Cricetulus griseus: one gene and its partner. The protein of the gene in region 1 purifies or fractionates together with the protein of each later gene. This does not show direct contact. Links are inferred from orthologs where the notes say so. Each region holds a gene or a part of one and is shown on either strand. Other genes may lie near its edges.

Region 1 (7,610 bases):
CCCTTGGGATCCCCAAAGCATTTTGTTTCTATTTACCCTCAGACAGTCAATTGGCATTCTGAGCCTTGTGCAAATTATGAACATTGTATGCTCAACAAAGATGTTTCAAAATCAAACAACAGGAAATAAAAGTACAAAGCTGCCACGTTTTAGGGAGTCACCAATCAATAAACCCTGAACTGAAAACAAGGACAAGGTATCTTTGCTGCTATAACTGGCAACTACACACCAGTAATCAAAATACAAATGAAGGCATTTGTAGTAGCAAAGTATACTCAGGTGCCAGTCTTTCTAAACCGCTTTTAGTTGGCTTTTTATTTGGCTGTTTGTGAAGCAAATGCTTTCCAGATGCAAATCTGAATGAACAGAGCAGGAGCAGTAGTTTTGTTTTTGAGTGTGGCTGTGCGAGCAGAATTAGTTGGTAGGTACTGAATCAGAAGCAAACCCACAGACTTTTTTCTTTTTCTTTTTTTTTTTGTGCCAGGGCCTCAACTCTGTAGTCTAGGTTGGCCTCAAGTATGTGATTCATCTTTTTGCCTCAGCCACCTGTATTTATTGTTTGTGGTAGGGAGCACTCACAGGGACAGAGGATAACTTTAAGGGTCTTACTCTATAGTCCAGACGGGCATGGATATCATTATTTAGACCAGACTTTCTTATAACTTGACACAATATTCCCTGTTCCGAATCCTTCAGAGATGCATTACAGGCACAGGCCACCATACCCAGCTGTGAAATTATTTAACTTTTCACAAAAGACATTAAGGATTTTAAGAAGGCTGCTAGTAAAGCACAATGACAGAGCACATGGGTTCTGGGGTTCAATTCAGTGAACTACCACCACCAGAAAAAGAAAGAAAACAAACACCAGCCCAACAGTCCCCAAATTTTGTCTAGAAAGTGTAGTTCACCAGTAGAAAGCTTGCCAAACTGGGATGCAGCTCAGTCTTCGTGCTTGCCTAATGTGTAAGAAGCCATGGATTCAATTCTTCAGATGCAAAAAGCAAAGACCTATATATATAAAAATAAAACCCGTAGGCTAGATATGGTGGTACACATCTATAATCTCATTTCAAGGCCAATCTAGGCCATAGTGAGTTCCAAGCCAACTTGGGACATAGATAATAAAATCCACACATACCAACTTCTGCAAGGTCTAATTCCCAAAACTTAGAAAATGGGGCTATCAAGCTGGTTCAGTAGGTAAAGGTGTTTGTCTCACCAAGCCCAACATACCTGTGTTCACTCAACAGATTAGCATAACAGTAGAAGAGAAGGACAACGGATTGTTCTTTGACCTCCACAGCATATCATGGCACACTCCCTACCCCCACGTTTAAAAACTAAAACACCGCCACCCTCCAAAACCCAACTCGGTGTGGTGGTGAACAACTTTAATTTCAGCACTCAGGAGACACAGGCAGGCATGTCTCTGAATTTGAGGCCAACCTGGTGTATATATCAAGTTCCAGGTCATCCAGAGATAGTCAGATCCTGTCTCAAAATATAAAACAATAAAGACATAAATAAATGAAAATGTCTTTACTCCCAGCACTTGGGTAGGGGTGGGGCAGAGGCAGGCAGATTTCTGAGTTTGAGGCCAGCATGGACTATAGGGTAAACTCCAGGACAGCCAGGGACACACAGCCTTTTATTTCAAAAAATTGTTCAGAGGGCCTCAGAGATAGTTTAGCAGGTAAAACTGCTTGCCATACAAAGCCTGATGGTGAGATTGATCTCCTGAGCCCATGGTAGAAGAACAGACTTCCCAAAATTGTCCTGACCTCCATACATGGGATATGGCATGCACCCATGTGCACACACAGTATTTTAACTGATCACAAAAATACCTAGAAGGGAGGGTAAAATTCTACCAATTTTATTACTATCTATAAAAAAAAGTGACCAACCAGAAGTGACTGAAGAATTATCCACAAACCTTTACTGAGAAAGTGGTTTCAATATGGGTGCTTTCCCTAGGTCCTGAACTCATGGTGCTCCTGCTCCTTCCAAGTGCTGGTTGGGATTATAGGAGTCACCAACACACACCACTGGAATCTTCTCAACATTCATTCCAAGGAGGGGCACAGGCACTAATTTCTTGATTACAGTCACACATCTATCCCCAAACCTTAGATCTTTTGAAACTATTCCAAGCTGCTGACATGATTGTTAATTCAAAACTGGAGAGGACACCTTATGTTCCAGTAAAACTTTTTTTTTCTTTTCTCTTGCTTTTTTGATACAGGTTTTCCCTCAGAGATCCACCTGTCACAGCCTCCTGAGTGCTGGAATTAAAGGTGTGCACCACCACCGCCCAGCTGTAAAACTCATTTTTTAAAAATATTTTTTGTGGTACTGGAACATAACTCAGTGGTACATAACTTGGGAAAAATGAGTTCCATATTTCATAACTTTTTTTTCTGAGATAGGGTTTCTCTGTGTAGCTTTGTAAACCAGGCTGGCCTCAAACTCACAGAGATCCGCCTGCCTCTGGCCTCCGAGTGCTGGGACTAAAGGTGTGCAACACCACCACCACCCAGCTGATAACTATTTTCTAATAAAAATATCACTACTGTGTGTGTGGAAGCCTACTTTTACCGGTCCCTGCCATACCCTCACGGGTAGATCATAGGACAATTTTCTGGAGTGGGTTCTTTCTTTCCATCACTACCTGAGTTCCAGGAGTTAAACTGAGGTCTCAAGGCTTGCTCAGATTGAGCAAACACTTTTTATCTGAGGAGTCTTGCCTTACACATGCTATTCTTAGTCTCCCAACTCACAATGAAGACCCACTATGGCAGGGCGGTGGTGGTGAATGCCTTGAGTCCCAGCACTCAGGGGGCCAGAGGTAGGTGGATCTCTATGAGTGAGGCCAGCCTGGTCTACAAAGCTACAGAGAAAACCTGTCTCAAAAACAAAACAAAAAAGACCCATTACTAGGCAAAAAGTGGCCCTTTCACCCTTTCTTGACTTCCAATGCAGCCAAGAAAGGTCTTACACTTCTGATCCTCCAGGGTGCTAAGATTACATGTCCATGCCTTCACACCCAACCAGCTTATGTGCCACTGGAGACTGAATCCAGGGTTTGCAGCCCACTAGGCAAACACTCTACAAACTAAGCTACATTTCCAGATACCCCTTTTCTCTTCCACATTTCACTCGATCCTTCTCTGGACCTCTACCCTACTTATCCCAAGAACTCCTTTACAGAATCCGGTCAAGAAAACGTCTGATCCCTCGCTCCCAGATTTGTTCAACAAATCTTTTCTCAATAAGCACACCCTGAGCAACCCAAGACCCTTGTCCTGGAAGTTACTTCTTCGTGACCCTGGCAAGAGAAATTACTGATACTGTCAGTCGGACTCAATATCCTCAAATTCCTTTTCTTTTTTCTTTCTCTCCTCCAAGTGCTACTGGGATTGCCCGCGCCCGCCACCGTGTCCGCTTTCTCAGGTTACATTTCTAAACCTCTAGCGTAGGAAGTCGTGGTCCGTGCCACGCATACCCAAAGCACCAAGCCTGTCCTCTTATGTCGCTAAGTCCTAAAGTTTTTCTTCTCCCGCCCAACTCCAAAGTCGCTCCCTCGAGTCAATCCGTCTCGGTCCAGCTCCTGAAGAGCTAACCCTCGGAAGGCTCGGCTCTCATCTGGAACCACTTGGCTCCCGGGCTCCGGATTCGCTGCCCCGCCCTCTCCAGGCTCCCGCAACCCGCGAGCTATGCGCGGGAAGCGAACGTGAAGGACCGGGCCGCGCCCCCGGCTCCGCTCGCTCCAGGCTTCCGTTCGCGGCCCTCGACCGCCCGCGGCCTCCCGCCGTCGCCGCGCCCCCTCCCCCCGCCTCTTCACCTCCTAGCAGCGCCCGAGAGTCCGCCAAGAATCGGTGCTCCGCTGCTAGTGCGTCGCGTCGGGCGGCCCGAGGGAGTAGCGCCCAGAGAAGCAATAAAGCCTTGTGGTGGCAATGGGACGCCTCGGTGAAGCCGCTTACTCCAGGCCCCGCCAATGGCCCTCCCCTCAGCCGAACAAAAGAGCTTCTCACTCTGCGCTGCCCGCCGCCGGCACCGCGCAGACGCGGTGACCCGCCACACGGCATCATGGGACTCTGAGTCCGTGCAAAACTACAAATCCCAGAGTGCCGCGCGAGTCTCTTCCCTCCCCCGCCCCGCCCCCCTACTTTCTAGGGTTGTTTCCTTTAAACTGGAAAGGCGGGGTCGACTGTAGTTTATAACTCTACAGTCTAGAAAGTTTGCTGAGTGGTGGTGGGGCTTGTTTGTTTGTTTTTTAATAACGGGGTATGTAGACCAGCAGGTTTCGAACTCGTGGCCTTTCTTTTGCCTCAAACTTCAGATGACAGGCCACAACATCTTACTCAGTCTACCCAGAACACGTGTGTTTGGAAACTAGCCCCTAGATATTTGGTCAGGAAAACCATTTGCCTCGCCCAAAAAAAACCCCAAAAAAACAAACAAACAAAAAAACCCCATTTGCCTCTGGGCAGTTCTGTAATTAATATCCTCTGCGTTTAATATGTATATATATATATATATATATATATAATAACATATTATATACATATACATATACATATATATATATATATATATTTTTTTTTTTTTTCCAGACAGGGTTTCTCTGTAGCTTTAGAGGCTGTTCTGGAACTAGGTCTTGTAGACCAGGCTCTTCTCGAACTTACAGAGTCCCACCTGCCTCTGCCTCCCAAGCGCTGGGATTAAAGGCGTGTGCCACTACTACCAGGCTAAAGAATAATCTTTAATCCCAGCGCTTGGGAGGCAGAGGCAGGTGGATCTCTGTGAGTTTGAAGCCAGCTTAGTCTACAGAGCGACTTCCAGGAGCGCACACAGAGAAACCCTGTCTTGAAAAACAAAAGAACAACAAAAATCTTAACATATTTGTCCCCTGAGATTTACCAAATCTCCACCTTTCAGTAATGTCCAGCGGTCTCTGTAATCTTTTATCTCCACCTCCATGAGGTTACTACTCCTCAGCCTTGAAATCACTTTCCCTTTCAGAAAGTACTAAATTAATCCTCTTTTTTTGTTGTTGTTTTTGTTTTCTCAAGACAGGGTTTCTTTGTGTAACAGCACTGGCTGTCCTGGAACTCACTCTGTAGACCAGGCTGGCCTCAAACTCATAGAGATCCACCTGCCTCTGCCTCCTGAGTGCTGGGATTAAAGGCATGTGCCACCACTGCCTGACTAAATTAATTTTTTGGTAGTCATCATCTGGTCACTTCCTGAATTTTCTTTTCCCTTCTCTCTCCTTTTCTTCGTCTTCTTCGTTCCCTCTTTTTTTGTTTTTTGTTTTGGTTGTTATTTATTTGTGTGGGGGGTGCACGGGGTCTCAAGGGAACCCTGGCTAACCTTGAAGTCCTGAGTCTTCTGCCTCCAAGTGCTGGAGTTATAGGCATGTGCCACCACATGCAAAAATGTCCCTTTATTGTCTGTGCCAATGGATAACTTTCATGGGGACTCCTCCATCTCAATGAGCACTCCTTACCTAACTAATTAAGCAAAAACTGTGGTTACTGTTCTTAAGCAAGTATGTAGTTCTGATTTCAGCTAGGTTGCTGCTAACTTTTGAACTGTAAACTCCACTAAGAGCCCTTATATGGCTCATTATATCCACAACACCCAATAAAGTCCTTGGTATTTGTTGTTAATATTTACATGTCCCTATTTTGGCTCTCACTGTTGGAAAAAAATTATTGAGTAAGTGATTAAGTCAATAAATGAGATGGTGTCCTCCTTCCTGACAGAAAATAGAACTGATCAAACTTCCCAAGGCTAGGTGTGATGAACCATGCCTCTTAATCCTAGTACTCAGAAGACTAAGGCAGGAGTAAATTTAAGAGCAGCTTAGGCTGTGTAGGGAATACCTGGCCAGCCTAGGCTACCGAGTGGGAGCCTGCCTCAAAAAACAAAACAATGAGAACTTTTCTGTTCAAAAAACTAAGACAAAAAGAAAAGAGAGAAAAAAAATTTTACCTCAGCAGTACCATACAAAAATTTAGTTAAAAGAGGCCAATTCGCCGGGTGGTGTTGGTGCAACGCCTTTAATCCCAGCACTCAGGAGGCAGAGGCAGGTGGATCTCTGTGAGTTTGAGATCAGCCTGGTTTACAAGAGCTAGTTCCAGGACAGCCTCCAAAGCCACAGAGAAACCCTGTCTCTAAAAACCAAAAAAAAAAAAAAAAAAAAAAAAAAAAAAAAAAAAAAAGAGGCCAATTCTTCCTGAAAATATTTAGGTTCAGCCTCCCAAAATAGGCAGCAATCAACCTATTCTTTCTTGAAGTGTGGTGTTTTGGATAACTTTGAAAATGAGAATATCAGTAATGCTTTTAGTTTTGTTTCATCTTGTATTGGTGCTGGGGATCAAACTCAGGGCCTTGCACGTGACAAGAGAGCACTTTACACACCCAGGGCATTTGCTGCTCTTGCAGAGGATCTGAGTTCTGTTCCCACCACCCATATGGTGGTTCACAACATCCTGTAATTAATCCCAGTTGCAGGGGATCCCACTCCTTTTGATCTGGCTGCACACACATACACTCCATGGCACCCCAAGCCTAAGACATTATCATTTTGGATCTACTCCAGTGCCAGGACACCTGGCTTCCTTCTTTCTCTTCTTGGTCCTGAATCTGTAACCTTGTGCATAACAAGCCAGCACTCTCCAGCTGGGCACTACTCCCAGCCTCTCCAGCCCAGGTGAAGTTATTTTTATTTTTATTTTTTTTATTTTTTATTTTTTGCTTGTTTTGGAGTCAGGGTCTTCCACACAAATTCCTTGGCCTTAAACTCTGCCTTGTACCTCAGCCTCCCAGATTGGTGAGATTATAGACCTGCACTGCAGAATAGGCACCTCAGCCATTTGTCCCAGCGTGTGAGCACCTGGGTTCAGCACTAGATAAATGAAAAAAGGAAAGAAAAGAAATAAGAAGGGGGGAGGGGATGGAAGAAGGAAGAGAGAGGGGAACCAGGTTCATCAGCCAAAAGGGCAAAAGGTTAAAAAGGGGGGGTGGGTAGGTTGCTGATCAGTGGTGGCTCGTCCCTTTAATCCCAGCACTCAGGAGGCAGAGGCAGGAGGCAGATCTCTATGAGCTAGTTCCAGTACAGGCTCCAAAGCTGCAGAGAAACCCTGTCTGGGAAAAACCAAAAAGAAAAAACAAAAAAAAGGGGGGAGTTTAACAAAAAAAAATGGCTGGATTATATAGGGAAGGGCAGCCCAGTCTCAGCTGGAGAGCTGGGAAGAGGGGGTAGAGGGCAGGATCTTTCAGCCATACCCTGTAACAGGGGGACTCAGGGACACTGGGAGAACCTGGAGACCAGGTCTGCTTTGATATGTTTAACTGGCATCTCAGCCATTTGTCCGGTTTTGAGGCTTAACATGCAACACCATTCTAGCCAATCTATGTTCAATTCTTGATTGGAGGTGAAAATTATAATCCATTTTTTTTTGTTTTTTTTTTTTTGTTTTTGTTTTTCGAGACAGGGTTTCTCTGTGTAGCTTTGGAGCCTATCCTGGCACTCGCTCTGTAGACCAGGCTGCCCTCGAACTCACAGAGATCCACCTGCCTCTGCCTCCTGAGTGCTG
Region 2 (7,528 bases), on another chromosome or scaffold:
GGTACAGCTACCTGGGCCAGGGGGCCCCAGATCAGGGCAGGAGTAGCTTCGGCCCAGAGATAACTTAGAGACAGGTGCTAGGGAATTGTCCTGAGTCCGCCACTGGCGGATAGGGGGCCGGGGGCTGACAGATGCAATTCTCTCAGTAGCCCTGGACTGCTCAGCCTCTGAGATAGCAATCTTCAACTCCAATTTCATGGGAGGTGATGGGGGTGGAGGCTGTGGTGCTTTGTTAGGCGTGAGGAAGATGTCAGCGAAGCTCTCAAGCTTGGATCGGACGGAACGGAAGAGAGGGGCCAAGCCCCAGGGACTGAGACGGGGGCGTAAAAGGCTGGACGGTGTTGGGGTCAATGGGACCTCCAGAACAGGATCTGGGGCTGAGGAAAGGAGAGGGTCACAGGCGGGCATTCCTCACCCCCAGGTGATTTAAGCACCACCTCACAAGCCTCAGTCTCTTCCCCCAAACACTAACTTCTCTCTAGAGGAGTAACTGTGCTCCTAAAGTTCTGTAATTAGGATTGCCTAACACGTCTAAGCCCTGGATTTGATCCCCAGTATTGCAAAGCAAAATAAGACCTTCTCAAGTTCCTGAGCCCCAAATCACATTTTGTACACCCTGATCTGCCCTGGGTCAGGGTGAAGCCCCACCCATAGTTCTGCCCCTGATGTTTCAGGCTCATGTTGGCTCCTGGAGACTTTTGAGTCTCATTCCTTCATTCAAGTCCTTACCTGGTAGTGGGCTCTCTGGAGGGTCAGCAGGCAGAGTGGACGGTTGGAATGGAGGTTCTAGTTCTCTGGGTGTAGGCACTGGCTGATGAACTTTTGTCATAGGCTCAGCTCTGGCGTGAAAGGACAAAGTAAGAGTTGGTGGTGCTTCCAAATCCAGATCCCTCTTTGGCCAGTGCTTCCCCTGGCCCTTAAGGCTTCTGAAGGTACTATAAGGAAGGGTTAGATAAGTAAACCCAATGCCCCCAGCTCTATACATTTGGATGATAATCGGCTTTGATAATCCCTTCTCCTAGCCCTCTCACCTTTGTGCTGGAACAATGAAGTTGGGCCCATCTTCAGCAAAACCCTGGATATAAACAGAGGAGGTGTTTTGAAAAAGCAAGAAGCCATCTTTGGCTGCCCCAGCTCTCCATGTCCTGACTTATTCCCCAGATATCTACTTGGCTGTATAGAAAAGATTTTTTTCTTATACCCTTTATTCAGGTAGTGTCTATCACATAAAATGTTGTCATTGGGGCGGTGGCACAAGCCTTTATCCCAACACTTGAAAGGTAGAGGCAGGCTATAAATTGGGTCAGCGTGGTCTACATAGCAAGATATAGGTCATAGTGAAACCTGTCTCAAAAAGTGGGGGTGGGGTGGTAGTGCACACCTTTAATCCCAGCGCTCAGGAGGCAGAGGCAGGTGGATCTCTCTGAGTTCGAGGCCAGCCTAGTTACAATACAAGTTCCAGGACAGCCAGGGCTGTTATGTAGAAAAACCCCATCTCGAAGAAAAAAAAGGAGGGGGGGCAGGCTAGAGAGATGGCTCAGTGGTTAAGAGGCACTGCTATAGCCGAGCGTTGGTGGCGCACGCCTTTAATTCCAGCACTCGGGAGGCAGAGGCAGGTGGATCTCTGTGAGTTCGAGGCCAGCCTGGTCTCCAGAGTGAGTGCCAGGATAGGCTCCAAAGCTACACAGAGAAACCCTGTCTCAAAAAACCAAAAAACAAAACAAAAAAAACCCAACAACAAAAAAAGAGGCACTGCTATTCTTTCAGAGGACCCACGTTCAATTCCCAGCACCCAACTGCTTCAGGGGATCTAATGCCCTCACACAGACATACACGCAGGCAAAACACCAATCAATGTACATAAAATAAAAATAAATAAGTTATTAAAAAAAATTCTGTTGTCCTACGTTTACAGAAATCCGCCCCAGCCTCATGCTTGCCTTAGCTGGACCCAGACATCTTCACCATACTTTCTTATACCTCAGCTGGTTGTCTGGGGCTGGCAATGTCTTCCAGTACCACCACCAGGGTAGGTTGGGTGGTCTGGTCCATCTTTTGTGAAGGGCTCTCTGCTGGGCCAGGGGCTGTCCTTGATCTCATCTTCAAGGTGGGAGAGGACTGGTGGGTCCGGCTCAAGGGTTCTCGGCACAAATGCAGTGGGTCAGGAGGTCTAGAGAAAGAACAGGAGCATCAGTGGGCTCAGCTGTGTTCTCAGCTTATTTCCTTCCCTGTCACACTCACCTGGCTTGGAAGGACCACTTGACTTGCTGGGGTGGTAACGCAGGTGACTGACTGTAGACAGAGTCCTGATGATTGTTGCGATTCATTGGCCTGGCAGTGTCCTCTTGGTATGCCAGGGGGACCTAAGAGAGGAAGAGTTGTTAAAAGAAAGCCAACCTGGGCTCATGCCTATAATCCCAGCACTTGCAAGGCTAATACAAAAGGATTGAGAGTTCCAGGCCAGCCTGGGCTAAAAAGTGAGACCCTGTCTTAGTAAGACAAACCAACAACAAAGAGCAAAGTAATGGAATGAGGCCAAGTGGACAGGATCTTCTGTGTCTCAGTGTCCCTACTCACAGAGGAGACAGATTTTGGCTAGAATTCACTCAGATTCCTAAAGGAAGTGATTTGGTCTGAATTAGGGGTGAGGTATTATAGTCAGGAGCTACAGGTGTGAAATGTAAGTAATCTAATCTAATCCAGGTTCTGAAGAAATGGAAAAAAGGTGACATTTTCCTCATCTCTGTCATGTAGCCAAAGACACCACCAGCAAACTTCCCAGGGGGCAGGGTAGTCAAAAGAGTTTCTCATACTTAGTAGAATATGGTTCCAGCTCAGTGGAGAGTGCGGGAAGGACAGACATAGGAGTTACCCCAGAACCATGCAGAAGTCTTGCATTAAGGAGACTGCTTTGAACGTTGGTTTAAGAGATCTGGTCTGACTTTAGTACTGAGCCGGGTGGTGGGGTGGGGGGTGTAGGGAAAGGGGAGGGGTCTTTCAATTAAAGGGCTCACCCTGTTTGTAGCCACGACATCTTCCAGGACTACGGCCAGGACGCGCCGAGAGGCCTTTTCCAAGGACGAAGGGGTCCCTAGGGGCTGCAGCCTCGGTCTTTTCGGGCTCTTGGCTTCCCATAGTGCTCGAGTTAGGGGCTGACGGCACAGGCTTGACTGTCTAGAAGGGCTGAAGGGTGAAAGAAGACAGTTGTCTGAGGCGGTTGTTGGCTCTGTACAGCCGCCAGGATCCCGGTGTCCCGGGCTCAAGACAGGCAGGCAGGCGGGGTGCGCTCTCACCTGGAATCCCCAGGCAAGTCCATGGGGAAAGCGATGGTTCCGGGGAGTCCCTGGGGGATCCCAGGCTGCGGCCTGGGGTAAAGGGGGAACAGGGGAGTGGGGAGTGAGGGCCAGCTCCTCTCCGGGGACTCCGCCCTTCATGTTCAGCCTGCGGCTCCCCGTAGGCCACAGGCCCTTCCTCGAAAGGGCGCCCCCAGCTGCCCGTTCGGAGCCGGGTCCTCCCGTGGCAGCCGCCTTGATCACTCGGGCCCTGCCTGGCACCTGCCGAGACTGGATCGCGGAGGTCACAGCTCTCCCACGGATCGAGCCTCCTGGGACTTTTGTCCCTGTAGATACCTCCCTGAGCTTCTCAGGGATCCGCTGGGATCCCGGTCCTGGGAGGCTCCGTTTCCTCTAGATTCCTCTGTGATCCTCGCCCCGCCAAGCATGGGCTCCAGAAGAATTACTCCACATACTAACAGCTCTCCCTTCCCACCAGATCGCCTAAATTGGATCTCGGTGGAAAGAATCCTACAGCGCGGTTCTTCCAATCAGAACCTGCGCGACTCGCCTCCTCCCACTGTGGGCTTCGTCTTAACAAAGTTCCTCAGGATGGAGGCCCAAGCTCATCTACGAACTCAGTTCGGATTCCGGGGTGTAGGCTGTCAACCCGACACCCCGTTCACGCCAATCCCGGAAGGTCCAGCCCACCGGTAACATCCCACCCCAAGCCCCCGCCCTGCTTGGATCCCCGCCCCGAGTTCTCCGGAGCCCGGGACCAGATGGCTCAAAGGTTTCCTTCTCCGCCGGCCTCTCTGCCCTCTCAACAGCCGGGTCCCCCTACCCCTCCCACCCTTTCCCTGCGCCGCTCACCGCAGCTTTCCAAGGATCCCGGGTTTTCGACAGCTCCCACCTCCGGCTTCTTTAAAACCAGCCTTTCGCAGCTCTGTCCAACCGTCAGAGGCCTTCTTCTCTGTGTCTTGGGCACCGCCCAATCGCCGGCCCTGGTCTTCCGGGGTTAGGAGAAACTACGTGAAACCGCCAGGCGGCCATGATTCCTAGGGGCAAGAAGCTAAACTGGGGACAGCACCGCCATTATAATTGAGGGCAGGCAGGCTTGAGCACTAGTCGACCGAATAGGGTCATTTTTCAAAGGCCAGTCAGCCGTCAACTACTATGGCAGATTTCTTGATATATTTGGACAACTGTAGTGAAGCTAAAGTTTCTCCACCTTTTGTAAAGTCATCTTCCGTATTTTTATTTTTTTTTCTTGTTCCTATGCCAGTAAACATCGATTAAGTGCTAACAACTTGAGAAATTCCCATTCTCTTAGGTTCCTCCGGGATTGAGGGGAAAGAAGGGCGGGGACCGTGAAGATCCAAGGTTAAAAATTAGTGCCGGCGTGTCTCCTCTGACTTGTTCTATTTGGAGAGACTGGGCAGAGCTTAAGTGGGGAAAAGGCTGGATGAGTTTCATTCACTGGCGCATATGTTTACTTCTTCCTAAAGTACTGTCTCCAGGCCACTTGGAAGGTCGGTAGAAGTTCAGTTGCAGGAGACCAATAGCCAATCTTGGGTTGCTCGGTGGAGCAGGTTCAGTGTCCTTTCTATTCTGGGCTCGCAGAAGTAACTTTTTGAAGAGAAGTCTGTCCTATGCAGGGTGTCAGTAATCTTTAGGGATAAGCGGTAAGGAGTAGAACCCTAGTGCTTGGAGATCCTGCACCAGTAGACCCTTTATTAGGAGCTGGACTGTTGGTGGGGAAGTGGGCTTTTACTGGCATTTTGCACTGTAAATGTGTCTTCATCACCTAACCAAAGCCCTAACTTCCCTAAGATTCCCTGTTCCAAACCAGTCCAAGAGACTGAGTGTGTGTTATGTGTATGTGGAGGCCAGAAAGCCTTGTTGGGTGTCTTCCTCAATTGCTCCCCCCTTTCTTTTTAAGGGGAAAAAAATTACTTTTTAAAAAGTATGCTTATTGCCAGGCAGTGGTGACTTACTTTCAATCTCAGCACTTGGGAGGCAGAGGCAGGCAGATCTCTGTGAGGCCAGCCTGGTCTACAGATCGAGTTCCAGGACAGCCAGGGCTGCACACAGAAATCCCCTGGCGTATATGTTTACTTCTTCCTAAAGTACTGTCTCCAGGCCACTTGGAAGGTCGGTAGAGGCTCAATTGCAGGAGACCAATAGCCAACCTTGGGTTGCTTGGTGGAGCAGGTTCAGTGTTCTTTCTATTCTGGACTCAACCCCCGCCCCACAAAGGTTCAGTCTTCCCAGTTCAAAAGACCTAATTAAGAGAAAAATCCCTCACAGGCGTACTCAGCCACTTGAGTTTTAGTTAATTCCAGATGTAGTCAAGTTGAAAACTAAGAATAGCCATCGCAGGGCCCAGGTTGGCTGAAAATTCACAGCAATCCTGCCTTTAGCTTTCTAAGTGCTGGGATTACGGATAAGCACCTCTATGTTTGGCTAGTGAACACTTTACTTGAAATATTCAAATACCATACAATTCACCCATCCAAATGTACAATGCAATATTTTTTAGTCCCCAGAGCCATGAGAAAAAAAAAAAGTAAATGGTTTTTAAAACCTAAGTGTTATTTATTTATTGGAGGCAGGGTATGCCAGAGCAAGTAAAGGTCACAGAACTTGAGGGAGTCCATTCCTTCCATCATGCGGATCTGGGGGATTGAATTCATGTTGTTAGGTTTGGCCAGCAAGTGTCTTTACCTGCTGAGCCATCTCACAAGCATATTCTCTGAGTACAAAACTATCATTTGCTCCAACGGAAATCCCACACCTCTTGGCCATAATTTCTTCCATTCATCACTTATCTAGTCCTTAGTAAGCCATATCTACTTTCTCTTTTGTTGCTGGCTTTTTGTTTGTTTTGTTTTTTTGAGACAGGATCTCCCTGTGTAGCCCTAGATATACTGGAACTCACTCTGTTGACCAGGCTGGCCTTGAAATCAGAGCCACTCGCCTCTGCCCCCCAAGTACTGGGATCAAAGGCGTGCGCCACCATGGCCCCTATGGCTGTTGCCCCTTAAGAGTCCTTGGTGTATTGTCTGCATGTATGTAAGCGTACTATATACAAGCATAGTGTACACAAAGGCCTGAAGAGGGCTTCATATCCCTAGAACTGGATTTAAAGAAGGTTGTGAACCACTATGTGAGTGCTGGGAAGTAAACCCAGGTCCTCTGCAATACCACTAAGTGCTCTTAACTACTGAGCTGTATAGTTGGTTGGTTTTTTGTTTGTTTGTTTTGGTTTTTCAAGACATGGTTTCTCTGTGGCTTTTTGGAGGCTGTCCTGGAACTAGCTCTTGTAGACCAGATTGGTCTCGAACTCACAGAGATCAGCCTGCCTTTGCCTCCCGAGTGCTGGGACTAAAGGCATGCACCACCACTGCCCGGCTAGTTGGTTTCTATTCTTTACCCCTTTGGGCTCTTTGAGGGGCCCTCCTCTCCTCCTTTTAATCCTCCTCTTCCTAGATTTCTCCTCCTATTCATTCTCTCTGCCTGCCAGCTCCACCTACCTTTCTCCTGCCTTATTACACCAGTCAGGTGCTTTAGACAGGCAAGGTCTCACACAGCTTAAGAGAGTTAGGCAAATGCAACCCATCTTTGCATCATTAAACAAATATCCTACAGCATAAACAAATGTGACACATCTTCAACGAATGTCCCCAAACACTGAGCAACAGCTGCAGTCCTAGCAGTATTCCTTTTATTTATTTTTTAAGGCAACATTTTTTGCATGATATTTGATCACACTGAGATTGCATCATTTACTGGGACAAAAATCTCGTTTCTAGTTGTGGTGTGGCTCAGCCCTAATACACACCTTTAATCCAAGAGTTTTCTGCTTTTTGTAAACAGGATTAAATAAAGTCAACCAGAGGCCAAGAGAGCAAGCAACCGGTTGACAGGAAATGAAGAAAAAAAAAAAAAAACATAGTAAGAGGGAGTCAGGACAGAAAAAGAGACACACAGGAAGTAGAAGGGAGGGATATTGAGTTGGAGGAGTCTTGTTTGAGGAAGATTTCTTTCTGGGTCATTGGTGGAGGAGGAGGCTCAGCTGGTGCTTTCTCTGCCTCTCTGAGCTAGCAGGCTTTCACCCCAGCATATCTGATAAAATCAAACATTGAGATTTTGTCAAGAACAACAACCATTTAATTATTATTTATTTAAATTCATCAATTGTTTTTTTCAAGAGAATTTATTCTTCTCTCATATATTACATCCCAACCTCAGTT

The links. The genes of interacting proteins can lie anywhere in the genome.
Region 2: the proteins of Cbx1 (region 1) and Prr14 purify together in Homo sapiens (affinity purification with mass spectrometry; 3 studies listed by BioGRID and IntAct, counting the BioPlex papers as one, with this or other methods). This does not show direct contact. The link is inferred for Cricetulus griseus from reciprocal best matches to the Homo sapiens genes CBX1 and PRR14.

Annotation. Positions count from the first base shown.
Region 1 is NC_048600.1:109,937,641-109,945,250, reverse strand, and holds the start of Cbx1 (chromobox protein homolog 1), read right to left. Parts: upstream 4,027-7,610; 5' UTR 3,848-4,026; intron 1-3,847. UniProt on the Homo sapiens protein: Component of heterochromatin. Recognizes and binds histone H3 tails methylated at 'Lys-9', leading to epigenetic repression. Interaction with lamin B receptor (LBR) can contribute to the association of the heterochromatin with the inner nuclear membrane.
Region 2 is NC_048596.1:73,286,362-73,293,889, forward strand, and holds the start of Prr14 (proline-rich protein 14), read right to left. Parts: upstream 3,995-7,528; 5' UTR 3,722-3,994; coding exon 3,630-3,721; exon of another isoform or gene 3,555-3,629; intron 3,366-3,554; coding exon 3,294-3,365; intron 3,184-3,293; coding exon 3,015-3,183; intron 2,364-3,014; coding exon 2,242-2,363; intron 2,171-2,241; coding exon 1,981-2,170; intron 1,076-1,980; coding exon 1,032-1,075; intron 936-1,031; coding exon 730-935; intron 378-729; coding exon 1-377. UniProt on the Homo sapiens protein: Functions in tethering peripheral heterochromatin to the nuclear lamina during interphase, possibly through the interaction with heterochromatin protein CBX5/HP1 alpha. Might play a role in reattaching heterochromatin to the nuclear lamina at mitotic exit.